Linked DNA regions of Caenorhabditis elegans. The protein of the gene in region 1 interacts with the protein of each later gene in a pairwise test. Each region holds a gene or a part of one and is shown in the gene's direction. Other genes may lie near its edges.

What was found.
Region 2: the proteins of pro-1 (region 1) and nfm-1 interact in a two-hybrid assay, tested with the Caenorhabditis elegans proteins (one large-scale study listed by BioGRID).

The regions. Positions count from the first base shown.
Region 1 is NC_003280.10:10,534,900-10,550,216, reverse strand, and holds pro-1 (Pre-rRNA-processing protein pro-1), read left to right. Parts: upstream 1-8,220; 5' UTR 8,221-8,231; coding exon 8,232-8,285; intron 8,286-8,708; coding exon 8,709-8,841; intron 8,842-8,890; coding exon 8,891-9,678; intron 9,679-10,053; coding exon 10,054-10,668; 3' UTR 10,669-10,779; downstream 10,780-15,317. Other genes in the region: MAP kinase-interacting serine/threonine-protein kinase mnk-1, read left to right, coding at 2,555-3,025, 3,892-4,579, 4,626-4,781, 5,076-5,309, 5,360-5,762, 5,816-5,860; R166.3 (AMMECR1 domain-containing protein), read left to right, coding at 10,885-10,994, 11,183-11,257, 11,309-11,408, 11,454-11,723, 12,244-12,291; R166.2 (Cleft lip and palate transmembrane protein 1 homolog), read left to right, coding at 12,547-12,669, 12,722-12,856, 12,910-13,005, 13,053-13,190, 13,956-14,084, 14,139-15,179. UniProt on the Caenorhabditis elegans protein: Component of the PELP1 complex involved in the nucleolar steps of 28S rRNA maturation and the subsequent nucleoplasmic transit of the pre-60S ribosomal subunit. Required for processing ITS2 sequences from rRNA intermediates during 26S rRNA maturation.
Region 2 is NC_003281.10:6,151,629-6,169,549, forward strand, and holds nfm-1 (FERM domain-containing protein), read left to right. Parts: upstream 1-7,860; 5' UTR 7,861-8,250; coding exon 8,251-8,472; intron 8,473-8,602; coding exon 8,603-8,818; intron 8,819-9,164; coding exon 9,165-9,383; intron 9,384-9,459; coding exon 9,460-9,594; intron 9,595-9,641; coding exon 9,642-9,776; intron 9,777-9,851; coding exon 9,852-10,154; intron 10,155-10,197; coding exon 10,198-10,347; intron 10,348-10,448; coding exon 10,449-10,536; intron 10,537-11,008; coding exon 11,009-11,279; intron 11,280-11,390; coding exon 11,391-11,565; coding exon of another isoform or gene 11,566-11,577; exon of another isoform or gene 11,578-11,770; coding exon 11,771-11,986; 3' UTR 11,987-11,991; exon of another isoform or gene 11,992-11,998; intron 11,999-12,664; coding exon of another isoform or gene 12,665-12,715; 3' UTR 12,716-12,957; downstream 12,958-17,921. Other genes in the region: rotr-1 (Nbl1_Borealin_N domain-containing protein), read left to right, coding at 1,884-1,992, 2,058-2,189, 2,476-2,664, 2,778-2,906, 2,956-3,105; anmt-2 (Nicotinamide N-methyltransferase), read right to left, coding at 3,475-3,612, 4,140-4,217, 4,804-5,290, 5,979-6,100; F42A10.9 (Gamma-glutamylcyclotransferase family protein), read left to right, coding at 13,024-13,115, 13,175-13,271, 16,963-17,061; efk-1 (Eukaryotic elongation factor 2 kinase), read right to left, coding at 13,661-13,925, 14,523-14,667, 14,813-14,836, 14,891-15,626, 15,680-16,756, 16,843-16,902.

The DNA.
Region 1 (15,317 bases):
TCCCATATTGGTAACTGTTTTCTGTCAGAAATCTTGATAAAAACTCGAAAACAGACGGCTATAAATATCTAGTGAGGAGGCGTTGAATCGGTAGACGCCGCCGTGAAAACATTGGCGCGTGGCCGAGAGAGAGAACGACGGAGAGGAAGCTTCAATGATGGAGAATGGGATTAGGCACAAGGAACGCCTCTCCTCCAATCTTTTTTGCCTCCTCTTATTCTCATATTCATCTCTAAGTCTGACTTTGTTTCTCAGTTTTTTTTTAATCCAGCAAGCAAAAAACGGCTTGTGATAAATTTAGATAATTCTTTAATTCTTTATCCGGTGCGAAAGAAGCTCTAGAATTTTTGGAACATCCATTTTTTTGGACAGATCCACGTACACTCGTCAAGAATACTTTTAAATGTTATTTTAAATAGACTGTCTGTCACAGACTGATGCAATAATTATCCTGGTCCTCTCTCACCTTCACTATGAAGACATCTGGTTAACTGTGTCATAAAAGTTTCAAATGACACATAACAATATACAGTCGGCATACCCTATTGACACTTAGCGACCTTGTGAAGATCCCCAGCAGATGGCTTTTTGCTGCACATTCAGCGGTTTTTGTTTTGTATTACGGTTTGAATAGGCGACACACCATTGCGTTCCGATCGGGTCAGATTGGGTCAACACACCCTTGTGTATGTGCGTCCGCGTACTCACACACACACACACACACACACACACGCTCACACGTGTGATGATTATTGGGATATACAGTGTGTGTAATAAGAATGATGTCACTCATGACTGTTGCACGTAAACCGCTCATGTGAGGGTGGCGGGTAATGACGAATCTTGTGAACAGTTTTAGAGTGCATTGTTGTTTCCATGAGATAAGAACTTTTTTGAAGTAGCACGGAAGTTTCAAATAATCAGGGGAAATGGGAATATATGAATCTGGAAGCCGGAAGATTACTGTAAATAAGATTTTTTCCAAATCCCCATCTTCTCCATTTCAAAGTCATTGGAAAATGTTGACGGAAAAGCAAAATATAGATCGTCTCCTTCACAATTGTATATGTCTTTGACTATCTCGTCGCCCTTTTCTCTCTCTCTCTCTCTCTCTCTCGTTCACAGTCGTCCTATTCCACTGGCTGTAGGGGCCCCCCGCCGTCGAAAGAAAGCGCTCGAACATTTGGGTCAGAGCGCCGACGACCAGGAATAGTTAGGCAGGAGACGCAGAGACTCAAGCCCATCCCTCGTGGTATCGTGTCTCCGCCTCCGGTTCTCTCGCCCTTACCTCCTCACAGTAGCGTGTGCGTTGTTCTGTGCTTGTGTCTCTGTCTGTGAGCGTGTGGAAGAAGCTGAAGAAGTTGGAAGAGCTGACGATCTGAAACAGAGAAGCTTGTTTCGAAGCTTTCTCTCTTTGATCTCGTCTTAAACACTTCTTTTTCGATCTCTCCCACCTAGTGTTCCATCGATCGGAACATTTTTGCTTGGTGTCAACCATTCTACCATTCATTCAACACAATATGACTATCCTTCATGCCGGGTATCCACAGTCTCCAGTCGTTCATTTCGGCCGTCATCATAATGTTAATATTAATCAGCTAAATCTGAATCATCTCGGACAAGTTGATAATATCCCAAACAGTGAGTTTTCTCTAATTTCTTATCATTCCTGACCTCTTTTTCTGCTTCCAAATCATATATAATGTCCTTGTTTTGTTTTTTTTTTCATCGAAAAGTCATCGACCAACTTTTATCATTTGAAATAGCCAATCAGAGCTCTAAATAACTCTAAAATCAAAAACGGAGCCAACTGGTCTGATCATTCAGATGGCATTGTTATCTTTTTTTTTAATCGCTTATTTTTGATTACCCTGATTGGAATGTCATGAGTTGGTGGCTGAAGCAATATTACTTAGTATTACTGTAGTTCTTTTTTTTTGGCAGCTGATTTCAAATAATTCAGTCGTGTGTCAATTGCAATTGATACAAAACATACCCATTAGGCCCCCAGTGTACATTCGGAAGGTGCCAGATGGCTGGGGTTTCCTTTGTTATGGCACCCTCGATTTTCCATATTTTCTTGGCATTATTTGATCTCAAATGCACATTCAAAATTTAAATATTCACCGCAACACAGCCACCTCCTACTTTTTCTGTTTATTGTTTGTCACGAATAGAGAGAGAGAGAGAGAGAGAGAGAGAGACAGCGGGTTTGCATCAGCAGATAGTCTCCCACCGATGCACCATAAGACCACCCGTCGCCCACCCGGCTGACTGGTCTTGTGACATATACTCCGTAATCTCCGGAATTGCCATTGCCCTCACCTCTTGTTGAATCCATATGTGATGAGCGGAGGGAGGTTGTGAGTAAAATGGATGTGGGAAGCGATGCTAAAAATATTTTCAAATCATCTATGTGAAAATGTTAATCTATGAAATATTAAATCTGTTGTCCATCCAAATAGGATTTATTTTTATTTATCTTTTTTTGTAGCAGCCATGCACAAATACAAAAACTGTACACAAAACATACAATCTATTTATTTTTTTGCAGATTCGGCCGTCGGCGGCGGCGGTGCTGCTTTCCACCATCTGCACACTTCTGCTGCTACTCCACGACACGTGGCCACCTCCGAGTTCTACGACGACGAGGAGGCGACGTCGCCACGTGGTGGTATCGAAATTGGCGCCGGTGGCGGCAAGATGATGGCAAACTTGCGTCGACACCGTCAACGTGAACGCGAGACGTACGAAGATGAGGATGTGTTGTCGTCGTCTGACGAATCATCCGGCCGACCGATTCCGCGTTACGTCGGACGTGACACCGACCACGTGTTCGGAGAGTTTGAGATGGATGACGAGGATGTGGTGATGAGAAGAGAAGACGGCTATGGAGAAGATGAGACCGACGAAGATTACTTTGATGAAGAGGAGCCGGTGGCTGAGTTGTTGCCGCTCGGGGGAGGAACTCGTCGGGTGCCGCGAACCCCGGGAAGGAAGAACTCGTCCAAGTGTGGATTCTTTGGTGAGGGTTTTGTTTGTTTTCCTACGACTGTTAGAGATACCGTCTTATTCAATTCCTGCTTGTTTGTTTGAACAGCTTGATTTGGTTTTGACTAAGCAACGGATGTCCCCTCTTGCCAAAAACATCTGTATTGGTTTGGTTCTTCTAGATAGAGAGAGAGAAAAATGAAAATTATTTTGATCCTAATTTTAGTTGATATTCATCACAATTAGACGATGCTTTCTAGTGATTCTCATGTGAAAATTTGATACCGGAAGCAAATTGATGAATGTGAGATGACGGCACGTAGATTAGACATTTGATTGATTTACTACTACACAGTAATGGTGGTGGTGGGGGGTATTTAGTTTTACATTTTAGTGGTAGTTGTTTTGGCGGTGTATAGAGACGGGGGGACAAACGAAGAAAGACATATAATTGACGTTGAAGCAATGAACGGAACCAAACCAAAATGTGAATGAACTAGTCTTTTTGAAGGTACGGTAGCCGTCGTTTTACGGGCCTAATAAGACGGTTCATTGAAACGGAAATGAGAAATAGGAGAAATAGAAATTATTTATTTTTCGAACTTTTTCGAAGTTTCTGGAAAATTCTAGAAAATTCTTAGAAATGATGCTAATGATGCAAATTGTTTTTGCATCATTTCACGTTTTCCAAAACTTATATTTCCTCATTTTGCAACACTTTGCATCAAATTAATCAACGTAGTATTAGAAAATGGCAATCGGTGGTAAATTCAATAGGGGAATTCCGCGCATTAGAAGAATCAGGAGACGTATTGAAGGTAATTTAGGTTAACTTAGTAACTAAAAATATCTGGCTTTGAAAAATTCTCAACTAATTTATTAAAATGTCAAAAATTTCAGACTACTACAAGTTAACGGATGAGCACTTGGGCTCCGGAGCCTACGGATCGGTGACCACGTGCAAGTCGATCAAGTCAGGTGTCGAGTATGCTGTGAAGATTGTTGATAAGCAAGGAGAAACGCATTCTCGAAAGCGTATCCTCCGCGAGGTGAACATCTTCAAGACGTGCAAGGATCATCCGAATATTGTTCAACTTCTTGACTGGTTTGAGGATGAGACCAACTTCTATCTGGTTATGGAGAAGATGCGCGGTGGGCCACTCCTTCAGCACATTCTTCAACGTAAATATTTCACCGAGGAGGAGGCTCGTCGTGTCACCAAGGACATTTCGTTGGCTCTGAAGTTTATGCACGATCGTGGAATAGCTCATCGTGACGTTAAACCGGAGAATGTGCTGTGCACTGATCCGAACCACGTGTCGCCCGTCAAACTTTGCGATCTCGATTTGGCGAGTCAACGTCCACCACAACACGAACGTCATCCGTTGAGCCAGGTGGCTTCGGAACCCGATCTTGCTTCTCCAGTTGGATCGGCCGAGTTTATGGCTCCGGAAGTCGTCGACGCTTATGTTGGAGATTCTCTGAAGTACGACAAGAAGTGTGATACATGGAGTTTAGGAGTAATCCTCTACATCATGTTGGCTGGATATGCTCCATTCCAAGGAATGTGTGATGATGAGGATTGCGGGTAAGTATTTATTTTTTCATGTTTATCTTGAAATTCGCTTTTCCAGGTGGTCCGAGGGTAAACCATGCGAGGACTGCCAACAAGACTTGTTTCATCGCATCCAAGATGGTTACTACGAGTTTCCAGAAGAAGAGTGGGGTATGATCTCCGAGGAGGCCAAGGATTTGGTCTCGAATCTGCTCAAACGTGATCCAGTGGACAGGTTAGTAACCGTCTCTTTTGTTAACCCCTTTGCCAATCGAATTCGATTGACACTTGTGGCGCAGTCGGTTGCGTGCGCTATTCCCACTCAACCAATCGTTGGTTCAATTCCTTCTTATCCTGCACTCAGTTTGTTCATTGACTGTGGAGCCTGGAAATGGAGGAGAAAGTAAATTTGATGATTACTAATACTTCGCTGTCTTTAGAGGACGCGGAGATTGTGAGACTTGAAACATTTTATAAATTTTTTAATTTTACTCAGAAATAAAATACTTAATTTCTAATTTTTTTAAAGATTCAACGCTGATCAAATTCTCTCTCATCGCTGGCTCCAACAATCCGCCGCTTCTACGATTCTCCAAACTCCATCCAATCTCATTAACCGCAAGGATTCGGCACGTGATGTTCAACAAATGTCCGAGCACTTTAATCTGATGAACCGACTTGCGGACACTCGTCTTTCGGCGAGATTCGACAATAAAATGACGATGAGCGAGTGTGGAAGTGACTTGGGAACTGCTACTATTCAGTTAGTTTATTATTTTTAAATCTTTAGTTCTAATTTAAAATTCTTTTCAGTGGTGACGGATCCTTCCTATCCATGGGTGGCGAACCTTTTGGCACTTTCCCACGAAAGAAATCTGTTGGAATTGCCATCGAAAAATCACGAAGTGGAGAGTTCACACCGCCAATCAGTCGTGCTTCTCCTACAACTCCACCTCCATCGATGCTCAATTTGAGCGAAGATCTTACTGATTCACCGGTCAAAAGAAGATCTGCCGACGATTCGGGAACCTTTTCGCTCTTCTCTCCAGCATCATCAAACGGAGACGATTCGATCTGTTCTCCACCAATGGTGTTTGTCGATATGCCATCTATTCAACTGTTCGGTACTGGAGCATTGCTTACTTCAGTTCAAATGACGCCTCGTCACACCACCGAAGACGACGCATCATTGAAGTCGTTTGAGGACGAGCAGGAGGTTTGTTTCGTCAGAATCTGTAATAATTTTGAACTAAACTATTTTAATTTCAGAATGCGAATCCCATCCATCGCATCGAGACTCAGGTCAACGTCTAAACCAAATCTTCGTCGTTGCTCCTCCTTCTCATTTAACACACAACCTCTCACCAAACCTCTCGAACTCTATCTAAGATCGCCACTTTTTTTTTCTGTTTTTAAAAATCCCCTTGTATGTAGTTTTGTCATTTTATTTCTCTTGCAATCAAATGCACTCTTGTTCTCATTTCACACGAATATTTCGTTTTGTGTGTTCGAAAATGTTGGAAAAAATCATCTAGATTTTAGTATTAGTTTTTTATTTTCAACATTTTTGAAAACCACCAATCCACCATCAATTGCTCTACATTGTAAATAGCAAGCGTTGATCTGCACCATCTCTTCTTGTTTTCTTTTTCATTTTTACTCTTTGACTTAGAAACGTGTACAGTACGGGGTTGATCACATTTTCGTGCTGGAAATGCGCTGAATTTGTGACCAACTGCGACCTAATTTGCGTGTACAAATGCCCATCCGCCCCCTCAACTCTAAAATGCATTGCTGGTGTTGTTGTTACTACGAGATCCCCAAATTTAAACAGAATGCTGGAAATACGCTGTTTTCCCATCCACTCATTGTTGACCCGATTTGTTGTTGATCTGAAGAGTTTTTTATTCTTTGCATTGACATCAATTTCTGTTATTTTTTTTGTATTTATCATCTTTTTATCATCTTCTTTGCCTACTCCCGAATCCCCTGTAACATCATCACCACATACTTTTTTCTAAGATCTGACAATCATTCACATTAGATTTTCAGCAGTTTTCAAGATTTTTCTAGTTGCCACTGCTGAAAATTTTTCTTGCAACCACGTTGCACCCTTTTTCCACATACTCCCCACCCTCTAAGACCTGTAAAACACGTGTACAAAATCAGAGATAATGTCGAGTTTCCCAGTGACTAGTTGAGCTCTTTTGATTCTCAGATCCTGAAATTCCTGAAAAAGTTTTCAATTCTGAAAGTCGAGAGCTCTCCGAGCACTGCTCCCTATCGGTGTACATACCCGCCTTTTAGTCGGAAAATTGTTGATTTGTGAAAAGAGTACTGTAGGAGATTTTTCTCTCGGCAGTTCTCCTTTTATTACCTTCCATCCATCCCGAGGATCGTTTGCAAAGCGTGTTTGACATCCAGTCTCCCAACTTTTTCTCTGATTCTCCTCCATTTGTTGTACATTTTGCTTTTAGTTTCTAACGCCTAATTCCAACATCGGCCCCCAGTTTCTTTTCGTTTAGTAGAATTGACGGCTAAACTTTGGTTTACCATTCAGAAGTCACCTTTAAAATCATGGTTTTGTCTGTCATATTAGGCCCTCTAGGCTCAGAATACTCAGAATAAGATTAGGAAAAAACCCCAAAAAAATGAAGTAGTTTTTGTAGTTTGTCTTCATCACGGTTTGGAATAGCCAAACCCATCCCAAACCAGTCTTGCAAAACATCTAGCTTGACTTAACTCCCGAGAACCCCACAGAAAGAAGCCCGTGTACCCCCAACCGTCCCACTCAATTGTTGTACGATCTCTTGTGCTGAAAATGTCGAAAATGTTGGTGAAAGCTAACTTTTTTCGATTTTTCCGGTTTGTCACAAAAATCCTTCCCCGCCTATCTCGTTGCTGGAGAATACACACACACGGGCCTGGTTTTGGTTTCCTTCTTCTCCCAAATTTCCCAACAAAATTTTTCTTAATTAACGGAATCCCGAAATCACTTTAATTTTTATATGGAGTTCACGCTCTATCTCTTCTCGATACCATTTTCCCCCACGTTCTTCCTGTCCTTTCTTCTTCATAACTTATTTTCTTTGTCTCCCACTTTCTCTCTTGTAGTAAATTAATATCCCTTTCTTCTGTTCTGCTCTGAAATTCTAATGTTATATTTATTTTTTATAGAAATGCTTCACGAAGTTCGGAAAGAATGATAATGGTTTCGAATGGAGAATAAACTGTGAATAATATATTTAAATGATTTTTTACATCACATGAAAAGAACATACAATGCATATAAGAGTTTGATACTATTGATTTTATCTGCTACCTTTCACGAAACGGAAATTAGCCGTTTTTTCAAATTTTATGAGTAAAAAGTTGTGGAATCGCAAGCTACGCCTCATGTGTGTACAAAAAAATAATGTAAACCGATCAAAAATATAAAATTCTAGTGAAAATTTGATATTTCTTATTAAATCGAAAACTTCGATTAAAAACATGTTTTTTTTGTCTCGTAAATCCTACGTCTGCAAACACCGATGACTTAGACTGCGGACTAGGCGCCAAATTCTACGCGCAAGTTGTCCAAGCTTTTTTTCTCATCATTTTTTTCTTTTTCTCCCCTTTTAAAACTTTTAAATAACTTTTGTTATAAAATCTAAAGTTTTTCTATATTTCAGCTACTTTTGGTATGGCTTATCTGGGTGTCGATACAAGCCGCATTGCGGGCACACAGCCACTGGAGGTTTGTTAGCGAGCAAGGGTGTCAATTCCCGTTTCCCGTTTTTCCCGTTGTCCCGTTTTTGGGGTGTTTTCACGGGAACGGGAATTCCCGTTTTTAAAATTTTCACGGGAACGGGAATTCCCGTTTTTAAAATTTTCACGGGAACGGGAATTCCCGTTTTTAAAATTTTCACGGGAACGGGAATTCCCGTTTTTAAAATTTTCACGGGAACGGGAATTCCCGTTTTTAAAATTTTCACGGGAACGGGAATTCCCGTTTTCCCGTTTTTAAAATTTTCACGGGAACGGGAATTCCCGTTTTCCCGTTTTTAAAATTTTCACGGGAACGGGAATTCCCGTTTTCCCATTTTTGTAATTTTTACGGGACATTGACACCCTTGTGAGCGAGTGAAAATCAATAAAAATTGTAAATTAACAATTTCAGATGCTTCTGGTGAGCAGTGGCAGTCCTGATCCACATTCTACAATTATTATTGATCCGAGAACCGGTGTTTCGTCATGGAGTTATAAGGGATCAGAATTACAAGGAGCATCAACTGGACTTGTTGAACCGCTGGGTAAAATTAATTTAGTCTCGCTAAATTAGAAAATTGATTTAATTTTCAGGTCATGACGGTGAACACGTCGTGATTACAACAAAGGAGCGACCACTCGTCCACGTACTTGCTGTACACCCAAAAGATAGATTTCATCAAAAATGTGTTCTTCCTGGCCCGGTTTCCGCAATCGTCAGTGATAATTCCGGTCATTTTGTGTTCATGAGCATCAAAAGACAACTTTATTGCTGGCTTCTGTCTACTGGAGAATTGCTATCAGTGATCGATGCGCACTATCAAAATATCACGAAAATTGTAATATCCGATGACGATTCCATGATTTTTACTGCTTCAAAAGACGGAGCTGTACACGGTTATCTTGTTACTGATCTTGTATCTGCCGATCGTGATCACACAGTTGCTCCATTCAGAAAATGGGCTTCTCATACTTTGTCAATTTCTGATCTCAAAATCACAAATGGATCGAATCCACGAGTTTTATCAGCTGGAGCCGACCATATTGCATGTCTTCATTCAATTTCTATGGATTCAGTAATTCTGAAAGCATCGTCAGACCGCCCGTTAACAGCCTGCGCCATCGATCCCGCCGAGACTCGAATTTTTATCGGAACTGAAGTTGGAAATATTGCTCAAATCAATTTATTCCAGTTGGCACCCGAAGAACGTGATCTCCTAGTTCAAGCTGGTGACGAGCATAACACGAAATTCCGAGTTCTCAATGGACATTCTGATGAGATTTCAAGGCTAGCTATCAATACAGATGGAACACTTTTGGCGTCCGGTGATGCTTCTGGAAAATATTGTATTTGGGAAATAAGTAGTCATCAATGTCTCAAGGTTTGTGTAAATAAAAAAAAAGAAGTAATATGTTTTTTTTTAATTGAAAATTAGTGTCAAAATATAGAAAACCACTTGATTTATCTGAAAATAACAGCTTTTTAAGCGGAAAAATTCGGAAAAGTGCTGAAAATTTTAAAGCTATTTGCAAATTTTAGACAATTTATGGACACTTTCTCGAATTTTTTCACTGAAATTTATTTTTTAATCAAGTGATTTTCTATATTTTGACACCCATTTTTAATGAAAAATGTTGGAAGAACATGGTGCATAGACCATTTTGCAGGATTGCTGAAAATAATTGTCCCTGATGTTTATTGAGATTTTATTCTATAATTTTGTGCATAAAAACCCCGTAAAATTAATTTGTTCCAGGTATCAACAATGCGCTCAGTAATCAATACCCTCCGTTTCATTCCATTCTGGAAAACGATCAGCGGAGGAGAACACGTCGCCAAATTTCGTCCAGTTTGGGATTTGAAACGAGAACCTACAAAATGCGATCGTTTCGCAATTGAAGTATCCACTGAATTTAACTCTGATCAGAAGCATTGGAATGACGTCATTGAAGAAACTATTGATCAACTTTTGTTGGAATCTGGAAGCAAATCATCTGCACAATTACAATGGGACGCCGAAGGACCTGCTAGAAATGAAGCTGCAAAAGCAGAAAAAGCAGCAGAAAATACAATTAAAAATATCATTACTCTTGGAGATGATGAAGATGATGCACCAGAAGTTGGAAATCAGAGAAGAAAAAGTGGAAAAAAGAATAAAAAGAATAGGAAGAATCAAAAGAAAAATGATTTTGAAGCAGCAGTTATTGAGAAGAAACAAGTAGAACCGATTGTTATTGATGACGAAGAAGAAGTCAATTCCTCGCTTCAGAAGAAATTTGATGCTTTGAAAGCTGAAAATGAGAAGCTCAAGGAAATCAATAAACAAATGTACGAATTTGTTGCCAAGGAGATTGTTGATAGCGAAAAATAGATTTTTTAATTTTATTCTTGCTTTTCCCTATTTGTTACATTGTTATTGGTGTTGCTGTTGATCTTTTTCTGTTGTTTTTGTTTTAATATTGATTAAAGAAACTTCAAAATTAACCTATTTTCAAATATCAATAATCGGTCAATTGGTCCGTTGAATTCCTGAAAAATATTTTTATAAATTTAATTTATATTTAAAAATTTTCAAATATACTTCCAGATGACGTCCGCTAACATCCAAATGGCAGTTTACTGCTTTGACGTCATCAACGCCCAATTGAATCGAGAGAAGGAACCTCCCGTGCCAAAAGAGATCCCTAATGTAAAATTGTAAGCAAGATTTCAGAAAAATCCCCGTTATTTCGTTAATGAATCAAGTTAATTTCTATATTTTAACATTAATTTCTGATAAAACAAATGAGAACTGCAGAAAATAATTGCCGACCGACCACCTCTAAATAGTACGAATCAAAAATCGAAGTTTAATCAATTCTCAAATAAAAATTCGTTTTTTCCAGACCACTATTTGTCACATGGAAGAAGGGACATCAACACGATTTACGCGGATGCATTGGAACTTTCTCTGATTTAAGGTAGAGTTTTTCACTATTTAAAACATTATTCAACAATCCAATTTATTACAGATTGGGTGAGGGGTTAAACGAATATGCGAAGACCAGCGCTTTCCATGATTCACGATTCAAGCCAATTAGCCGGGAAGAAGTTCCAAGTTTGCAGTGCGGAGTGAGTATTTTCACTTTTAAATTGCATTTAAATGAAAGTTTGTAGGTTTCTCTTCTAATAAACTTCGAGCCAATTCATAATTTTCGTGACTGGACAATCGGTCGTCATGGAGTTCGAATGAATTTCGACGATGGTCATCGCAATCGGAGTGCCGTTTTCTTGCCGGAAGTAGCTCAAGAACAAGGATGGAATCATGTGGAGACAATTGATCATTTAATAAGAAAAAGTGGATACGGAGGACATATTAATGATGCTCTTCGGTCAGCACTTCGAATTGTTCGCTTCCAAAGCTCCAAACTTGTTCTGGATTATAAGGTGAATATAATTATCCGGCGTGTACTCCTCTCGGTCAATTAATTAATTAATTGTTCTGGATTTTAAGCGATTTTGCATTTCCTCATGATAGTATTTGTGTTTTTCTATTAGAAATTAAAAAATTTAAACATATTTTCGTATTTTCGATAGTTTTCATCAAAATAACAGAAGTTATGACGGTTTTAAAGCGTTATTGGTCTGCTATTTAATGTAAAACGCAATGTTATATTTGTTCGAAAACAAAAAAATTCGAAAAATCAAGCAAAATCATGAGAAAACACGAAAAATTGCCTAAAATCCAAAAAAATTAATTCATTAATTGCCCGAGAGGAGTACACGGCCGAGAAATAATTATCGGCCATGTACTCCTCTCGGATAATGAGTAAATTAATTTTTTCTGGATTTTATGCAATTTTTCGATTTTTCTCATGATTATTCGTGTTTTCTATCAAAAATTAAATGCACAAATTGTCCGAAATAATTCAAAATATTTTTTATATACAATTTCTCTAATTTTCAGGATTATGTAAACTACAAACAATCGCACGGACTGCCACTACCACGTTAATGATCTCTTTCTATGTATTTTTCTTTCAAATTCCTGTAAAATATTCTGTATTATGATTGAAATAACTGTATAATAACTGAAAATTCTGTAAAAATATCTAAAATAATCTAATAAATTTCTATTTTTTTGAAATCCGTTTGGAAAAAATATTTAAGTGTTTCTAACCGCACTAACCACTATCTTTTCAATTTATTTTCACCACTTTTTGCTTTTGCAACTTTTCCACTTTCTAACCACTCTCATAATCTTCACAGAATGGCCGACGCAGTTGCACCAGCAGCTGCTCCCGAAGCAGCTCCGGAACCACAGCAAGGTGGCGGAATTTGGGGAATGATCAAGCAAGCAATCACCATTTATTTCGTAGTTTCCATGGTTTCTGTAAGTTGATCTGGACATCTTAATTTGAAAAATGAATTCAAAAAAATTGAAGGGATTCTTCCGGCCATCGTCGTCGCCTGGAAATGATGGAAATGTGACAGCATCTACTGCTGGAAATGGAAATAAAGCGATGAATATGTTCCCAAATCATCAGATTTTTGATTTATACGTTTACATGGATGATAGTGTTAGTTGACTTGGAGAAAAAGTTGAAAATATCGGAATTTCCAACAATTTCAGGATCTCCCATTCAGACAATTCGATTCAGCACCAGAAAAGTTGATTTGGATGCGAAATGGAATGAAGTATGATGATTGGATTAGTGGTGATAATGAAGTTTGATAATTCTCTAGATTTAATTAATTTAACTTCGTATTTTCTAGGACGGCAGTCACACAATTCACAAAAACTTCCCAACTCCTGCTGCATTGCTCCGTAATGATTCCCTCTGGCTTCACACGTTCATCGTTAAAGCTGGCCAATCACCGAATCCCAAGGATCGGAATTATTTCAAGAATCAGGTAAAAAAACTAAAATTTTTCATTTTTTTAAATCTAAAATTTAAAAATTCAACATAAAACTGGAAAATTTGGAAAAAAAAAATTATTTAGATTAATTAAAAAAATTGTACGAGAATTGTATAGATTTATCAAAAATATGCTAATTTTTATGTAAAAAATATAACAATTAATTTTTGAATTCGTTTCCAAAAACTGGAAACCGAAAAAATCATTAAATATTAAAAAAAATTAAACATAAAAAAAACTGTAAACTTTTTTTGTGGAAAATATGTAGGTAGACTTTCAGTTAAAAAAAAAGAAAAACTAGCCGGAAATTTTTGAAAAAATTGTTTTTTTTCTCAAAAAACGAAAATTCGAAAAAATACAAAAAAAACATTGAAATTTTTGGATTTTCCGATTGTTTTGAAAACCCGACACGAGGATTCTATAGATTTTTCAAAAATATGTTGAATTTTATGTGAAAAAATAATTTTTTTTAAACATAGAAATTATTGAAAATTTGGAATTTTTAACTCAAACAGTCTCTGTTTGTTTTGGGAATTTTTTGGAAAAAAATGTTTGGAAAGTAGAGAAATTACCGGAAATTATTGAAATTTTTAAATTTTTTTTAGAATATCGAAAATTCGAAAAAAAAAACCAATTTTCGATTCTTTGGAAAATCTAAAAACACAATTTTTTTTGTGAAAAATTTAAAAACCAACATTATCAAGAAGAAAAAGAAGATTAGTTCAAGATTAAAATAAATTTCAAAAATATATATTTCAGATCATCTATAAATCATATCAGCTGAACAAGTACAAGAAGAAGTATTATCGAAAAACTTCAAACTTGTTGACTGGTGAGAGTGAGCAGAGTGATGAGGATCTTGCCAAAGCTCAGATTATGAAATATGAGGTGAAAAATCTAAACAAATATCGAAAATTTTGGAATTATTGTCAATTTTTGCAGGTTCTCAATCACTGGCATCCAAACATCTCAATCTCTTTAGTCGTTGATCAAACTCCATGGGCTCGTGGCCAAATTCCACCACCACTTAGTGAAGATATTGAATTTAATGAAGACGGAACCATCTACAAGCCTATTTTATTCTATAACAATTGGTGGAATCTCGGAGCAGATTATCAACCGATCAATGAAACTGTCAAAGATCTTAACTTGACAATTACCTACTATCCAATGTCAGTGTTCAAATATCAAATGTACGCAAGTCAGCGGATGCAGTCTCAATGGCAATCAATGTTATCTATGGATGGTGCAGATATGGATGATGATGGCCATGATTCTATGAAACAAGCACTTCTAGAGACTAATCCAATCCTTTTGGCAGTTACTATGATTGTTTCACTTCTACATACCGTATTCGAGTTTTTGGCTTTCAAGAATGACATTCAATTTTGGAATAATCGAAAAGATCTCGTCGGATTATCAGTTCGATCTGTGCTTTTCAACATCTTCCAATCACTGATTGTTTTCCTTTATATTTGTGATAATGAGACAAATACAATGGTGAAAGTTACAGTTGGAATTGGTTTGCTCATTGAATGCTGGAAGATTCCGAAGGTGATGAATGTATCCATCGACTGGCAGAACAAATGGTTCGGAGTGATTCCACGTTTGGTTATCAGTGATAAAGGATCATATGTAGAGAGTGAGACGAAGATCTACGATCAAATGGCATTCAAATACCTCGGATGGGCACTTTTCCCACTTCTTGTCGGATATGCCATCTATTCTGTAATCTACGTTGAGCAAAAAGGATGGTACTCCTGGGTACTCAATATGCTCTATGGATTCTTGCTCACGTTCGGATTCATTACCATGACACCTCAGCTGTTCATTAACTACAAGCTCAAATCAGTGGCTCATCTGCCGTGGCGTATGCTCACTTACAAATTCATCAATACGTTTATTGATGATTTGTTCGCGTTTGTGATCCGGATGCCGTTGCTCTACAGAATTGGTTGCTTCAGAGATGATATCATTTTCCTGGTGAGAAAATGTCGAATAGATTATGAGGACGCAGAAAATTGCACTTTTAAAAACGCTCCTCCCCAAAGTATTGGGTCTCGTTTGGAATTTTATTTCAAAACCACAATTTCGCCAAAAAGAACGAAAAATTCTTGAAAA
Region 2 (17,921 bases), on another chromosome or scaffold:
ACTTTGTAGTTTATTGTTTCTTGTCAAAAAAATTGTTGGTCGAGATAAAGTTGTGTTCATTTTGGCAACTTCATGCTTGAATTTTCTTCTTCTTTTTCTATTCCTGTCTCAATCAACAATTTTTTTGACAAGAAACAATAAACTACAAAGTTGTACTTCAGATTAAGATGAACAACTTTGTAGTTGATCACTTTGCCATCAAAAATTTTTCCACGGAGATATACGCATCCAAAGTGAACGCGTTTTTTGAACTTAGTTGTTCTACTACACCTCAGGTCTTCTTCCGAAATCGTGTTCAGAACATACAAACTAGAAATAATTACAAACATTGCATTTTTCTATAGCATCTAATCATATTATAAAAAGTTTCCAAAAACTTTTTTTTTCAACAATTTTTTTTCAACAATTTTCATCATAAGGGGGGACCCTTATGATCAAAGTAATGATTTATCAAATTGGATGAAGAGGGTCATATTTAGAATTTTTATCGAAATTTCATTCGAAACTCTTAAAGTTGAAACGGAAATATCTTACTTAGTACTATTCGATCTATTTTTCAGCGTTTCAATGCGTTTTTTAACACCAATAAATCATTTCAATTCAACGCTTACTCTCATTATGAGTTTCATAGCAACGACACTCCGAAATAACCCTAGCGCGCCCTCTTTAGCGAAAATTTTATTCAATTTTTTTTTGCTTTTTTTGCAATTTTTCTCGTTTTTTTTCACGATTACCGCTAATTTTGCGTGATTTTGTGAGCAACATATTTTTCTTTTTCACATTTTTATAATTTGCAGATAAAAATCGAGAAAATCAACGAAAAGGATCCTTCAAAACGACGGAATAGGAAAAAGATGCCAAAAATCAGGTATTTTCAGAAATATTGAGAAACTCTGCGTCTATTCTTCTGTTAACTAATTATAATTGGTTTCTTATTCGAAAAATATAAATTTTTGTCACGAAAAAAAGCGAGAAATAATCTTCGAATTCAGATATTTCGTCCCGACGCAACTTCGCCGGCTTCGACGAGGAATCCTGCAGCGAGGGACACGATTATGAGCTGTTAAAGTGAGTTTTAAAGTTTTAAAATGTATTCTCCCGAAAGAAAAATCGTCAAACTAACTCTAAAGCATGATAATTTTTACAGGAGTGTCGCCGGCACCGACTCCGAACGAGAAAAGCTCCGACGACCGCAAACGAGAGCCGAAGGAATCTGGAAAGCGAAGGTAATATTTTATTTTCAAATATCGATACTTGTTTCTAACGAGCGAAAATGTATAATGTAATGTAATAATGATTAATCTTCTTTATTAAACTTCTTTAAAATTAATCATTTGAATTTTTCAGAAAATGGATCGATAAAATCGCTTACTGGAGGAAGACAAAAGGAAGAAAAGCGGAAACGAGTCAATTGCCGATGACACCAGAGGACGATTCATCGAAATCATCAAAAGATGAAATAAATTATTTTGTTTTTTTTTCGATTTAAAATAAACGATAATACTATAATATACTCGTTTTATGAATATTATTCTTCACTGAAAAGCAAAAGGAGGGGAATGGAAACGATAGCCTTCACCCATCGCTCACCCATCGCTCACCCATTAGCGAGCCGCTAACATGCGAACGGCGGCCCACCGGTGTGCGCGCTGTTCGTGTGTCGGCGGTTCCCCCCTCGCCTATATGCGGTCCCCCCTCGCCTATATGCGGTCCCCCCTCGCCTATATGCGGTCCACCGGTGGGCCGCCGCTCGCACTTGGCGCTTTACCTGTGCAGTTGGGAGAGCGTACGACTGAAGATCGTAAGGTCACCAGTTCGATCCTGGTTTGGGGCAATCTATTTTTACTTTTTTGGTATTCTTATATAAACTTGGTAATTTTAAGACTCTCTACATTGCTTGGACCACACAAAGAGCTATTCTTTGATAGGATATGTCGGGCAGCCGATATACAAAGGGCATCTTTGAAAAATCGTTTGAAATCAAATATAAATGTAGGATATTTTTTAAATTCAATTTTCCAATATTTTTGACTAATAGTAAGATTGCAATTTTCCAGAAATTCGAGCCCAGCACACCTCTGTCGTTTCAACCGGGATTCGATTCTCAGAGCTCTCTTTCAACGACTTCAGAGAGCCAAAATTTTGTGGTGACCCCAACAACTCTTAGCAGTTTATTGAACAATCACACAGTAAGTTTTTATGAGATTGTCGTAGTAGGTAGGCCCGTGCCCATATTATCATAACAAGTCTACCTGACCTACCTGACTATTACACATTTTCTGCATTTTGAGGCCACTTTAGATGATAACTTTAGATGTAGATGTAAACCTTTAGATGTAAACCAACTGAGATAATAACAAATAAGTAGGTCTTGTAGTGTAGCAGTAGGTAGGCACAAGGAAGGTATTATATGCCTACGTCGATGTTATACTGGTTTAATTATCAAATCTTTTAATTTTCAATAAATAATTTAAGCGGAAGAATCACATTGAAATGCTGGCTCCACTAGCGTCCGAAGAGGAGTTGATGAGATTTCCTGCGGAACGACAGTTTGATCTAATGCAAATTGGATTTAGTTACGATGAAGTGAAGCAGTTGCTGGAAATGTTTGAAAAATTCAAGAATGACGTTCAAGAGATTAACAGGCTTCATACATTGACACAGGTGAGGAATAACGGTTACTGCAGAGAAACGAGAGTGTATGTATTCTTTGGATTTGGTTGAAGGCACCTAATTCAGATTCTCTGGATTAATTGTTCCTAAAAAATATTTTTGAGATCCTGAATCAATTTTGCAACTACATCTCAATGTACGCACCACCCAATCTGAAAATGATATCATCGGCGTTCAATTTGCTAGAACTTGGAAACTCAGCTCATGAAGTGAAAAGGGTTTTACTGAAAGCGGTAATCTAAATATTCCATCAAAAAATATAACTAAATGAAATTTTTATAGCGTCGTCGTGAAGAATCAGAAGAATCAGATGTTTCATTTTCCAAAAAGCCACGTCCTTCTTCTAGATCTCCTGCATCTCCAAATCGAGATGATCTATTGTTGGGACTCGATCGTTCTCCGCCCAGCGATGATGGAACTCAGAAAGTTTGAAATTGAAATTGATGAATATGAAACACACTTTTATTATATTTAAGCACTTACCTCGGTTTTGGATGATTTCAAACGTTTTTCTACTGATGCTCCACTTTTAATTCAGTTCTCAATTTCTACAGATTTATTATTATTATTATATCAATATTAAGCAAACCAGTAAGCTCGAAATACAACATGCAGAGGACGGATGAATTCTGACCATTTTACAATTAAAAAGCGAAACATATGAAAAGAATATAGTGCACAATTAAAAAAAGAAGTGAAAGAGACCTAAAGCCGAGTACAGTACTTTTTTGTTGATATACGCCTAGTGACTTCATCAATACTGACAAATGATCGAGTGGGGAATCTAATTAAACAACAAGTTTAGAGCTTCGTAGCCATTATGAACATGACACCTTCTCCGTCCAAAACGTATTTCTTTGCATTGGCAACATCAAGACCAACAGATACAAGAGCATCAAGAATCATCTGTTCACTGAGATTGAGGAGATGGAAGATTGTCTGTAAATTTTGATTTTTTTTGTTGGCATATACATACGAGTATTTTGGCTACGAATTTTAATGCAGGTCTATTTATACAGTTGGGTCTCGCCGCGCGAAAAAACAATCATATGTTTTTTTTTTAAATTTTGTACAAAGTTTGGAAATATGCTAAGAGCGGGTAAAAGTAAGAGGAAGTAAAAAGAAAAACAAGAAACATCCTCGAGAAAACGGTTTATCGGTTTTTCCTTTAATTTTAAGTACAGTAACATGTTAGTCTTGCGGCCCCACTGCTCCGTTTTCGAAGTTAATGTATCGCTTAAACGTCTAATATTTCAGAAAAAAAAAATACTAGCACTGTTTCAAAAAGATATGTTCTATCACAAGTCTGAATTTGTATCCTTCAATCCTCATTCCCATCGCCTAAAACCAATAAAACTTCTCTAGCTATCATATATACCTGCATCATTGACGCAATCACACAAACTGACCCCGTTAAAATCGCAAGAGCACAGATCAAATTACCAGATCAATTGGCCCTTTCCTACCTTTCTTCCCGAGTTGTACTCATCGTCCTCGAGCACCGAACCAAGCACAAAACGACCGCCGGAACGGAGATGTCTCATCTGGAATCACACAAAATCAAAACACATTTTGATTTCACTTTTTCTCATTTCAAACTATCAAATCTGGTGCCATTCAGTCGTTGGCTCATTCTCATTTCTTTTTTTTCCGAAAAACGACACACTTTACATCTTGGAAAAGATGAAAGACATCTGTTTCTAAACTCTTTTTTTTTTCATTTTCTTCGTTGGCACCGTGAAAATTGGATATAAGATAGACAGAGAAATAGAGAACGGGTGTAAAGGGGAAGTGAACACTGATTGTGAAGAGATATAGGAATATGAAAAGAAAGTTATGACGAAGTTGTTACTGGAGAATAAAATAGATCGAATTACACTTACAATAACTCTTTGAGCTAGTAGTTTACTGTAGTTTACAATTTTATTGTTCTCTATTCGAAAGAAATTCGTGTTTTGAACTTAGAAATGGAGAAAAAGAAATGTGAACCAAGATCTATCTTCAGTACTGGGATTTCAGAAACTATTTTAGAAGAGACGTGTAAAATAACCTTAATGGCATAATCAAGCTCCTAAAACGAACGATATGCTTAAGCCTAAGCCTAAACCGCAAAAATCCATTTAGACTTACCATATTAGTGACACATTTACAATACTCTTCATAGTTGCGACAAGCACTTTCTAACGTGAAGATCGACACCAGGATATCCACCTTCTTCCCAGCCAATTCAGGGACCACATCCATCTGGTGAACATCTGCGAAATGAATTCCACCAGACTTGACCAATCCGCGGGCTTTTTCTTCAACATCAATGCATACTTGATCTGTTGGAGTGGGACCTCCTTCCGTTCGGTTGATCACTTTGATAGTTGGCACCCAGTCAATAGTCTCCTCGTGGCGGATCCATTTTCTCAGAACGTCAAGGTTCCGATCGACAAAATCTGATAAGTGAACACGCTTTGCCACATCACGGAAACAAAGAGCCGAATAGACGGTTGGTCCTGCTCCAATATCCAGAAGAGTTTCACGTTCAGAAGGTCGCATAGTTTGGAGCATAAGTTGGGCGAAGACAGGAAGTGCGAATAGGGAAACACGGGTTCCATCTTCAATAGCATCTCTGGAAATGAGAAATGAAATTTTGGATATATATGGAATGTCTGATGTTTATACTCTCTCCCTTGGATTGTTCGTTCCTTGTCAGACAGGTACTTGACTTGATAGCACCCAAAAATGTGTCGTCTCATTTTCAAAAGTTTAGAGTCTAAGAGCCAATGATGCCTCCCTCCTCTTTTCTCAGTTTTTTCGATCTCTTGACACAAAAGATCCTCTCCTACTCAAAAAGAGAAAAAGGTAACCGATCTGCGACCGATTTCGTGTGCAGCAGCAACAGGAGCAAAGCCAAAGCAAGCCGGGGATAAGAGGTTTTGTTTGTGAACAAACCACTCGTTTTTGTGTCAAAAATGAAGTGAACGGTATCGAGAGCGGATAGAAAGTGCAAATCGGGATCGAAAGTTCTAGAAATTGAAGCCCGTTATTTATGAAAAATGTTTCTTCCAAGTTTTGTGGCGGCAACCTCGCGCGCAAGATTATAACAACCGACATAATACTGGATTCAAAACATTAAAAAATTGCGGCAACCGACATTTTACGGGTTTCATAACCAATTTCTGGAAAATGGTAGCTTGACATGTTTGTTGAAGCAGCCTACATGATAAGGGGCTCAGAAAGTGTTCATTGGTGGGAGGCCGACATCTCATGGGTTACATCGAACGGTCGTTGCGACATATCAAAGATTTCTGACTAACCTGCTGAAATAAAACTGCAAATACTCATCAGGATCGAACTTCTTGACGTAGTCCTCAGGCAAAAGTACAGTATGCTGGGCATCCGATGATTCCGTAATGGTAGGGTCGATGAGAGTAGACATGACGAGGTATAAATAAGAGATTAAACGACACTGAAAATATTTTAATTTTTTTGAGTCCAAATTTTTGAAAAAAAAAATCAGAAATATAACAAGGAAACAAAGCACTTTTAAAAGTCTATGTATATCTCTATTTTCTTCCGCTTTTCACATGTTTGTTTTTCCCTCAAAATCTCCAAAATTCTTAAGTTTACTCCTTTTTTCCAGAAAAACTCTAATATTTAAGTGATAACACCCACGCAGAGTGCAATTAAATATCGATACAACAATTCATTATCATCATCAAATAACAAACAATTAACAAATGAGGCATCGACACTCTCGAAGTAGCACAAAAATTGAGTGAGGTGGCTCTTGCACAGAGAGCGAGAGCATAAGTGTGTGCTCTGGCTCCGCCTATTTTTTCGGAGCTCTGGGAGAGAAGGATAGAGAGAGAGAGAGGGAAGAAGGGATTTCCCGAGGCTCCCGGCAGGAAGTGTTGGGAGCCAGACAGTGGGAGCAGGCACAGAGTACGAAGAGCAAAGTGGAAAGATGGGAAACAACAAATTATGTTATGAGGAAGTTTTTTGGCAGATTGGTTATGAAACTTTGCAGAACTTTAATGCGTTACTGTAAATTTAAGGGAAAGTAGGTTCCATCGAGCGTACTTACGAAAATTGTACTGTAGCTCACTATCAGTACACTGTACTTTCGAAACATTTTTCTGGATTTCATCTTTCTGGAATTTTTGAATTTTCAATATGGAAAAAATGTACTTAAACTTCATTCGAAAATTATATGACTTCAAAGGAATAGGGAGGTTAATCGAAAAGTTACTGAAGTTTTCGAATTTTTGTTGGCCATTTTGCTTACACAAGTGCGCCCCACTTCACACTGATGTCTCTTTTGAAAATATAATAATAAGTCAATCGAAAAATACCGATTGTGTGAATTTTTCTATACTGTCCCTATTCCCCCTTTCATCTCCCCCCATTGACCACTTCTCCCCATCCCCTCCTCCTATTATGCGTAACACCCGGCATGTCTAGGCCACGAAAGTTGTGGTTCGTCGTGCAGTCATGTCCGAGTGGTTAAGGAGATTGACTAGAAATCAATTGGGCTCTGCCCGCGTAGGTTCGAATCCTGCTGACTGCGTTAAATTTTTTTCAATTTTTTCGCACATTTTTTTCGTTGTAACTTCGAAATTGTACAAAATGAAAATATACTTGATAATAAACCAAAACGTGCAGTCATGTCCGAGTGGTTAAGAATGTCCGAGTGGTTAAGGAGTTTGACTCGAAATCAAATGGGCTCTGTCCGCGTAGGTTCGAATCCTGCTGACTGCGAATCTTTTTGAATCTCGTCAGTCGATGTAACTTTTGTATCGAAACCATTTGGAGAAAAACGATGGAGGAGGAAAGGGCGTGTTGACATTATTTTATTTATCGAAAAACTGAAAATTCTTGTTCACACGAGACCAGGCCACATATTTTCACAATGCGTCATATCAGTTGGGGGCATTGAATCATTGTTCTTCAATATTTTTATCAGTTATTCTTCAATGAATGCACCTGGGATTCCATACCTATCATCATTATGAGTGTTGAAATATTGTTTCGTCCTCTCTTCCAATCATCTTCTCTTGTTGTTAGTTCCAATGCCTCTCCTTCCTCTCATATGTTCTAACACTTCTTGTGAGACAGACAGTTGGCATAGAGTTCCTCGACGCAGATACCTATACAGTTACAACACTATTTGCCCTGGGGCGTACTTACATTGATTTTCTTCACTTTTCTTAACTATTTAACATACTTTTTTTAAGATGGGCTTCATCTCATTATTGATTTTTCACCCTAGAGAAACCAATTCAGTACTTCGGAGACTATAGAACTTTTCTAACTTTCCGAAGTTTTAAACGGAAATATTGGAATCCACGTTATTTTCTAATTGCCTCAAACTGAAACTATCTGAAATTTTTATTTTCAAAGAAACTAAAAAAGCAATTTTAGTATCTGAATTTTTGGATGTTGTTCTTACTTGACGGAAAGAAAATACGTGCAATACGTTCATGTGCAGACAACGGTCTTTTTTCAGAAATGAATAATAGTTGCTAGTATTATTTTTTTCTTAAACTTCCAGGCTAATTTCACCTACAAAAATTCCAAAAAATAGCAATGGGTGGATTTTCGATATTTTCGCGAAACACGAAGCCCATTTACGCAAAAGTGAGCACAATGGATGCTGATTTGGAGAAGATTGTAATTGAGAAAACATGGACAGGAAGACATTTATTTGAAGCAGTTTGTCGAATTATTGGATTACGGGAAACTTGGTATTTTGGACTACAGTTCACAAATAAAAAGAATATTCCATGTTGGTTACAGAATGATAAAACTGTGAGTTTTTGTTGAATACATTTTTGGGGATACGGTATTTCCAACAATAAAACCAAATTCTAATTATCAAATTAAAATATTTTGGGAAAAATAATTTCTCTGAAAATAATTAATTTTTGAAATTTTCCAGATCTGTGGCCAAGACATCCAAAAAGACACATCTGATGGAACTTTTAATTTCTTATTTCTTGTCAAATTCTATCCAGAAGACGTGGAACCTGAGATTATTCTAGATGCCACTAGACATTTGTTCTTTTTACAAATACGAGAAGCAATACTTTCAATGAATCTATATTGTTCACCTGAAGCAAGTGTTTTATTGGCCAGTTTTGCAGTTCAAGCAATGGTAAGATTTTTGTATTTTAACTGGGTTTTACAAAATATGAAAATGCCATTTAAATTCCTTTATTGAACTTTTAAAAGATCGTCAGTTGAGAAAGTGTTTAAAATCACTCATAAAATTTTTAATATATTTCTGAAAAATTGAGAATTACAATATCGAAATTTACCAAAACTTTTGCTGTAAAATTTTGAAAATCTAAAATTTTCAGAAAGGATATTTGAAGAGTATTTGAAAATCCCATTTTCTTCCAGAAAAATTGGCAAAACATTTTCAAGTGCCTGAAAATGTTTCTGAAAAACTATCTATATACACTTTATTCAAAATCTAGTAAAAACGAATTAATTTTCAGCATGGCGACTGTACAGAAGAAGTTGGTCCAATTGATCTTGACAAGCATTTACCAAAAAGTGTGATTGATCAATATGATATGAGTGCTGATATGTGGAGAGATCGAATAAAACGATGGTGGTCACGGAATGCAGGACAATCAAGAGAAGAAGCTGAACTTGAGTATTTGAGAGTTGCACAGGATTTGGAGATGTATGGAATATTATATTATCCTATTTGTGTAAGTTATTTGAGAGATTCTGTTTGAACGGTTGTGGACATTTGAATTTGAGATACATAATTTTATTTATTTTCAGAATAACAAAGAAACTGACTTACATCTTGGTATATCCGCTCAAGGGTTGGGAATCTATAAGGGAGTGAATCGAATAACACCTCGGCCGTTTTTTAGTTGGAGTGAGATTAAGAATATTCAATTTAAGAATCGAAAGGTAATTTTTTTAAAATTTTCTTTTCACGATTTCCATTGTACGTTCAGTTTCACATGAAAACCGTCGACAAATCCACAATATCATTTCGATCACGAGAGACATCAATTGATTCTTCAATATTGGATCTTTGCATTGGAACACACAATTTGTATTTAAGGAGGAGGCAGCCAGACACGTTAGAGGTATGTGTCTTTTATAGTAGGGCAACTTGAAAATTTCTATTCAGTTTTCTACGAAATGATAACTGTATATTTCAGGTTCAACAAATGAGATCACAAGCAAAAGAAGACAAGCAACGTCGAGCAGCAGAACAAGCAAAAGTTGCATTGGAACGAAAAGAGAGGCAGCAAATGGAAAAAGAATATAAGGAAATGAAACAAAAAGTTGAAGTGATGACTTTGGAATTAATGAAAGCTCAAGAAAATATACGAAAGGCAGAAGAAGCGAATGATCAATTAGCAGAGAAGGCACGACACAGTGAACATGAAACTTTGATGTTGTACAAGCAAAAAAGTGAAGTTGAAGCTGAATGTAATCGATTAAGTATGAATAATATGAAGGTAAAAAATCAAATTAATTATGAAATTAAAGTTTAATTTTCAGTCCGAAGAAGCTCTGTTGAGAATGGAACGAAAAGCTCGGGAAGCTGAGATTTTGGCAAAGCAGATGTCAATGTCACTAGCAGATGTAAGCCTTGACGCGAATCGGAAAATGACACAGTATTCGAGTCAGTCTGCGTTGATTATTGATCCGGTAAGTTAATGGAAAATCTTCCCATTTTGAGTAAATCTTGACAAAACCGTAATGGGATTGATAGAGGATATACTCGATTAATACGGTTTAGAAACTTTCAGAATTGGCATCAACAAGTATCTGGTCATCAATCAGGTCATCCTGGTATGCCATCAACAGGATCATTTCATCAACTGCAATCACTTGACAGTTAGTTTTTTTAAAGGCACAATAAAAAAGTCTATTCCAAAATAGTATAGAAGTATAATATCTATAGCAACTTTTGCATGATAATTTTGGCAATGGGCGTAAAACTATGTTTAAAAGTTAAGAATAAAAGTTTGCCGAGTCAAAAAAGTCTAGATCACATAATAAAAACCGACCCCCTAATCAGTTTATCGAATTTTTTTTTGATTATGTAACTTCAACATTTTCTCACAGCCAGGTATTTGCAAAGTTGCCTCAAAAAAGAGAACACTAAAAAATATTTTGGTAATGATATTATAAATTCAAGATCTTCAAATGAGAATGTGTCTAGTTGTAAACTAATTTATTGTTTGTAATGCCAATTTGGGAATGAAATCGCAAGCCAAGTTGCTACTGTTTTTGACCAATCCACGTCTTGTTAGAAATAAGAAATAAGAAAAATATGATTATATTTATACGGAAACAACATTTTCAGCACACACTCATCCTCAACAAATGATGTCTCGAAGTCTGAATATGCCATCATCTGCATTTTCCTCCCCAATTCCTTCAAATCAACCACTTTCTCATCAACAACCACAACAAATGTCTCAAAATACTCAAGCTCATCAACAACAAACTCAAGTTCAAAATCAGAATCAACCGCCATATTACGGAGGATCTGGTATGATTATTCCACCACCCGATCCTTCAATTAGTCAGATTTTCGAGCAACAGACTACTCTGATGGAGTTGGAAAAATCAAGGTTAGTTTGGTAATTAAAAAAAAAGGATAACTGAATTATATGCTAGCAGAGTTGAGCAATGGAGGTACAATCCTAATAGAGAATAGTATGTGACATTAGAAATTTTTTCAGGTCAGAATACGAAACACGAGCGCGAATCTTCAAGGAGCACCTGGAAGAATTACGTGGCGATATTGACGGCCTGAAACGAGACGGTAATGTACAAAATGGGCAGCATCGAGAGCATGATGCGGTTCATGCACAAAATGTGGCACACGGTTTTGATAAGTTCACGACGATGAGAATGGTAAGTAGATAATTTAGCAAGTTCTGTTAGCATGCTACCGTTCTGAACGGTTACTAAGCTGATCTCATGATCAGAAGGTCAAAAGTTCAAAAAGTTATTAAATCTCTTTTTCATCCTATTCTATTATATGTTAAGCTTCTAATTTATTAAAATTTCGCGCGTTTGGCATTTGTAAGTTTGACGCTTAACTTCGGAATATCTCCAGAAAAAATCAAAAAGCGCAAGCTCAATTGGCTCATCGGGTTCCTCCGATTCCTTGGAGCTCAATACTGTCGCTAGACATGTGGCGGGACGAGGGATTCCACGTGTCTCTACAGTATCCACTACGAGCTCGTCAAGTATTCTGAGCCACGTCATGATGCTGCATAGACAGCAGTCTTATGATTTGGGAAACACTGAATGGCAGGAAGCTGACATTTGAATATAGTGAGAAAATAGTGCCAGAGTTTGATTGTTGTGTGGTAGAGCGTGTTTGCATATTGACTAATTTTCCAATTATTGTTTTCTAACACTTGTTGATTGGTATTTTTGTTAGAGTTGAAAATAAACATTCATGGTTCAAGCGCTCTATGAATAAATTCAATAATATGCACACTGTAATTGTTTTTTTTTGACTTAAAATTTAAAAATCAGGAATCGCAACAATGAACGCAGCGCGAAAAATATTTCTTAGAGCGCAATCGTTACGTCGGGTACTGACACGAGATTATTTTTTCCGCTACAGTATCCAATAGTAGACGTTCCATCGTTTATTTGGAAATTCTTTTTCTTGAGTTTTTATGTTTTTGTAGTAAACCTATTCAGGGAAAATAAGATTTTCACAACAAAAACTCGAAAAATTTTTAAAAATAGAAAGAAACAAGAAAAAGCAAAACCCAGGGTACGGTATCTGAAAAGTTTCGCTCGCGCTAAGACTTTATTAATTTTATTAATTGATTCAAAAAATCACACATTTTTTAGTGAAACTATATCTTTGAATTTCACAAACCTGTCCGTCGGTGTATTTTGTTGTGATTTTTCAAATTTTGAAATGAACATTAGTGTGGTATTGATTGATTATTCTTCTCATTTTCCAATTATAATTTTCTTATAATTTCAGAGTATGCGAGGAACTCCACGACAACGAGCACAAGCTTTTGATGGAATGTGATAAGAAACTTTATGGCCATTTATGAACCGATTTTCCTTTTTTTTCTTCAGTTTTTCCCCATCCCGATAAGAGATAACCCCATTTTGTGCTCATTCAGTTTATTGATTTTTCCACACCCTTTTGCCATTTTTCAATCAATAATCTTTCGTGGCAAGACAAAAACGCGTATTTTTCTTCTTTTTTCCGAAAGGCATATTGTGTAAATATACATATCGAATGATTGATGAATACAGATTTTTTTTAAATGTTTTTTTATTAACTTAAAATAATGAAAAAATCTGTAATTTATTAATTCATTTCCAGCAAAAATGGGCGAAAAATTCAAGGTTTTCGTGTATGGAACCCTGAAAACAGGAGAGCCAAACTACAAGGTTCTGTCAGAAACTGACGGAGAATATCGGTAAGTTCGGGAGTACTGAAGAATTTTGAGTGTCAAATGTGATGCATTACTTCTTTCAGATTCATCTCATCTGGAACTACAGTGGAAAAGTTCCCATTGGTAGTTGGAACCAAATATAACATTCCATTTTTGCTTGATGATGCTGGGAATGGAAATGTGAGTTTTACAACCTGAAGTTTATTTAAACCGACGTACTTTGAAGCATATTGACAAGTAATTAAAAAAAAAGAACGAGAACGGAATCAGCTTTGGCAGGGAAACAAAGATGAATAAGGAAATTTTAAAGAAAGAAACAGAAAAATGATTATGCGCACGGTTTAAAGGGAGTATAAATGCCAAAAACTTGTTTAGATCCGAAATTTTTTTGGTATTCAAAATCTTTGAAATTTTTTTCTTTCCTTGAATCCGGGGACTGTGACAGGGGGAAACTAAAAATTGTAGGGGATGGGGATACTAACTAATATGAAAAAAAAAACAAACAATAATGTACATTATACCAGAAAAAAGGATATACATTGAGGATTGAAGAAAGGGGAATTCAAGAATCATTCTCCACACATTTCCGCTTTTTCATAGTATTTATTTGCGAGCTTTCCATTCATTGCTTCCATTGCTGCTTCAGCAGCTTCATTGAATAGACCATATGCTCGTTCGAAGTCTTGATTCAGGCCATAACCTCCCTCTTTGTACATTTCAGCCATTTTGGCTAGAATCTCGTGACGAGTCAGTGGAGCAAATGAGGAGAATGTCGTTTTTCCACAATCAGAGTCAAGTTCTTCTTCTTCTTGGAATCCAACGACGCGTTGATACCTACAAAATTTAGAATATTTCTCAAGTTTATAGAAAAAATGTTAAGGAACAAAATCATCCAAGAAGTCCAGAATAAAAATCGCAAATAGGTCATATATGATTTTCTTTTTGAAAAATACAACAAGTAGATTTAGTTTTTTCTGAACATATTTTTTGAAGGTTCCTAGTTTTTCTGGTTTTTCACAATTTTTCTTATAAAAAATGAATCAGAGACGGGTACTTCTATTCGAATTTTAAAAAATTTTCGATTAAAAAATTTCAATTTCAATTTCCAAATTTCCTAAATGTTCAAAAATTCAAATTTCAAAAAATCGAAAATCTTCGTTTTTTGATTTTTTTTTTCGTAAATTGAAATTTTTATTTAGAAGAAAAAAAATTTCCATCGAAACAAACAAAGTTTGATGAAATTTCAAATCTGTTAATTACATTCTAAATCTTTTTTTTCGATTTTCAATTTTCCGGCTATTCGAAAAAATTTTCAATTAAAAAAAATTAGAAGCTATAGCATCAAACATTTTAGCTTTTTTAGGTTTCTTAAAAGTATTCTCTATAAAGTCGGGTTACTGTATCTTCACTAGAATCTCATAAATTTCTTACCAATCAATCGATTTCTTATAATCCGTTCTTCGATTCGGTCCGAGATGCTGACCAGTTTCATAAGCGTGTGCCATGTACAGCATTGCACCCTTATCACCCATCTCTGCAGCAATTTCCATCAGATCGGAGCCGAACTCTTCTAGGTCTGAAAATTTTTGAATTTTGATAAAATACGGGATGCTGAGAACACTAGGATTGAATCTTTCAAAAAAGGAAACAACACGAAAGGTTAAATTGGGAAATCACAAAATAATTTTTAAAAAGCACACACGAGAAAACTTGATTCTTACCACAAGGTTTTTGTCCTTTATCAGCTGAAAAGTTGGAATTTCAGATTTAAAAGAGAAAAATTAACAAAAAAAGCTCACCTCGAATTCCATTTTCCTGTTCTCCAAACCCATTAGGAAACAGATCATCAACGGTGACTTCTTTCAACAATTCATGTGGTAATCCGAGAACAATATGAGCCGATGTTAGCACAGCCTCAAGGATTCCACACTTCCGAGCGATATCCAAATGGAAAATTGCAGACTGCTTGTCGTATTTGATTGGTACACGAGCGTCATTTTCACTTCCCTCAAGCATTTCCTTATGTTCTGAATCAACTTCTACGAACCGCCCGAGCTCATGATATCGTGAGAGATCAATATGAATCTGACCGAGGACAGAGAACTGATGCCCGGTGACTTGTGGTACGTCTTCATCATTTTCCAGGTTAGCAGCCATTTGTTGAAGTTGAAGTGATAGAATGTTTGCTGGAACTGATTGTTTTCGAAGAACCTTCCAGAATTCATCCTTTTCAGTGTCTCTGGTTTGTCTAGAACTATTCATAGAATATGTCCCAACAGAACTTCTGAAGCTATCATGTCTCTGACGAAGTGAGTTTAAATCTACAAATCCGCATTTTCTAGGACGAGATGCTGATTCATCGCCAGAAGATCTCGTTGAAATGCTCATTCTACTACGTCGACTTTTCTGACTATTTCCACTTTTTTCACTTCTTGGATAGTCTTCTTCTTCGTCCTCTTCATCTTCGGAGCAAGGCTCACAGAGTTGCTCAACAACTGGAATACACTCAGGACATACACAGTCTTCGTTGTGACTCTGAAAAATATAAAAATAGAATACGTTAGAACTTTTTTAAATGTTTCTTTCACCTTTGCTGACAAATCGGTTGACGATTGATTCAACGTCTTCCTTTTTCTCAATTGATCCATCGAAATACCATGCTCGACATGTACACATTCACTTGAAATTCGATTTCTTCTTGCTTCGAACACAGTTGGAGGAACTATGCATGACTTTTTCTGCTTTGCAGCTACTTCCATCGCAACTTCGGTAGCCTCGATTTCAGGTGGCGAAAGTTCGAAATTTGATAGATCCATTGTCTCACAAATATCGTTACATCTGTGTGAATGGAAGAAAAGAGCCATTCCACGAGTTCCGAGGTTTCCATCTCCATAATCAGTTCCCACAACTGTATGAATCTGAGGATCTGTGTAAAGATCACCAACTCCTTGAATATCGACAACCATCATTTGATGACCAGAACGTTCGAAGGTGAAGTGAGAAAATGCTTGTGGTGTAAGACGAGCTGCATTTGATACAAATCCTGAGTTTGAATTGTATTTTATATATTTTCCCTCGATGAAATGCTCCAAATGATAGAGTGGAGAACCTTTTACATCAATCATCTCAATGACACACATTTGAACAATATCAATTTTCTTCGGTGGATTATACCGATTATATTCTTCAGCCCATAATTTGGCATCCATCTGAAGTCTGACATCATCGAAAAGAACTCTACGATCGACTTGACAAATGTATCTTTTTGCGACATAGTTGCTGCTCCAATCTTGACTTGTTCCGTGCTTGGAGCACTTTTTGAGTCGGTAGCATTCTCGCATGGCTCCACGTGCAAAACTGTCCGGATGAAGTCTCACATCGACTATATCCTCTGTCCATTGCTTTCTGATTGCAGAATACCTATATCGTTTAGCTCGTTGTACTGGATACTCGTGGATGTTGAACTCATCCCATGGATCTATATAGTTTGTTCTTGCTCGGCGAGCAGCCTTGCGCCATGTCTCCATAAGTTTTCTAACGTGGAGAGGATCCATACGAGGCTTCTCGATAACGACATCATTCTGTTCAATGAACACTTCATCTGCGTAGTCGTCGGTTATCCGAACCATTTTTGACGCATTGAGCGAGAATGTCCGAGCCGAGGCCTTGAAAGTAAAAATTGTAGTTTGTTTAATTGAATTTTAATTAAATAAATTTAATTTTGTTAAAGAATTGTTTTCAAAAATCCCACCTCCAATCCTGGTGAGTTAGTTGGACTATTGTCGCTCTCATTTGTTGTGTCGATCGTCATTTTGCCCAGTTTGACTACTGAAACAACTATTTTGTAAATAATTAATCCAAATTTTTTCAGAACATTGAAGGAGAAATGTATGAAGTTTGCGAGAAGAAATTGAAGGTGCTCGATGAGTTGGAAGCCTACCCAACATTGTACGATAGAAAGAAAGTTGAGGTAAGTCAGATAAAAAAGGTTCTGTTTGATTTCCTACTGTAGATGTTTTTATTCTTAAAAAACGATATTACCTAGTTGCGAAAAAGATTTAAAGTGTAAAATCTATGAAATTGGGAAAAACTGGACGTGGAGAACTACCGTACTTTTTAAAGGCGCACTCTCTTGTTTGCGCTGAAATTTTTTGGTCGCGTTGAGACCAGGTATCGTATCAGAACTCAAGGCAAGTCAAAGGTCTTGTTTTCTATGTCAGGCCCAGACACTACTCATCTAATCACACCCAACAAAAAACGAGCATGAATTAAAGCGACAACGGGGGGAGAACGTGTCGAATGAAAGAATACTTGAAAGCAGATGATAGAGAAAAGAGAAGCAAACAAACATATAAACAGTTTGATTTCTGTTCCATCGAGATGCGTCACGTGCTGGTCAGCTGAGAGCTTTTTATGGAAATTTTTGGATGTAATAACAATATGTTTATTATGCATTCGTAAAAAATGGATCCAAAAGTAAATTTGATCTCAGTGAAAAGAAATCGATTTTTAAAAATAACATTCTGAAACGACCATTAGAAGTAATAATTGAAAATTATTAAAGGTTTTCCAATTATTTTCTGAATATTTGTTTCTGATAATTGATAATTGAGATTTATGAAATTCGTATTCACTTTTAGAACAATTTTAAGATTCAAACTGCAGAAGTTTTCTATTTCGAGCATTTTTAGGTTTTTAGTCTATAATCCAGTGATTTGTGTGTAGAGAAGAGTTGGGTAAATAGAGAATTACGAGGATCGAGAACCAGATTCGGAAGATATTATCTTTTTCAATGGAAAACATACGATTTTGGATTAAAGTCCGTAAATT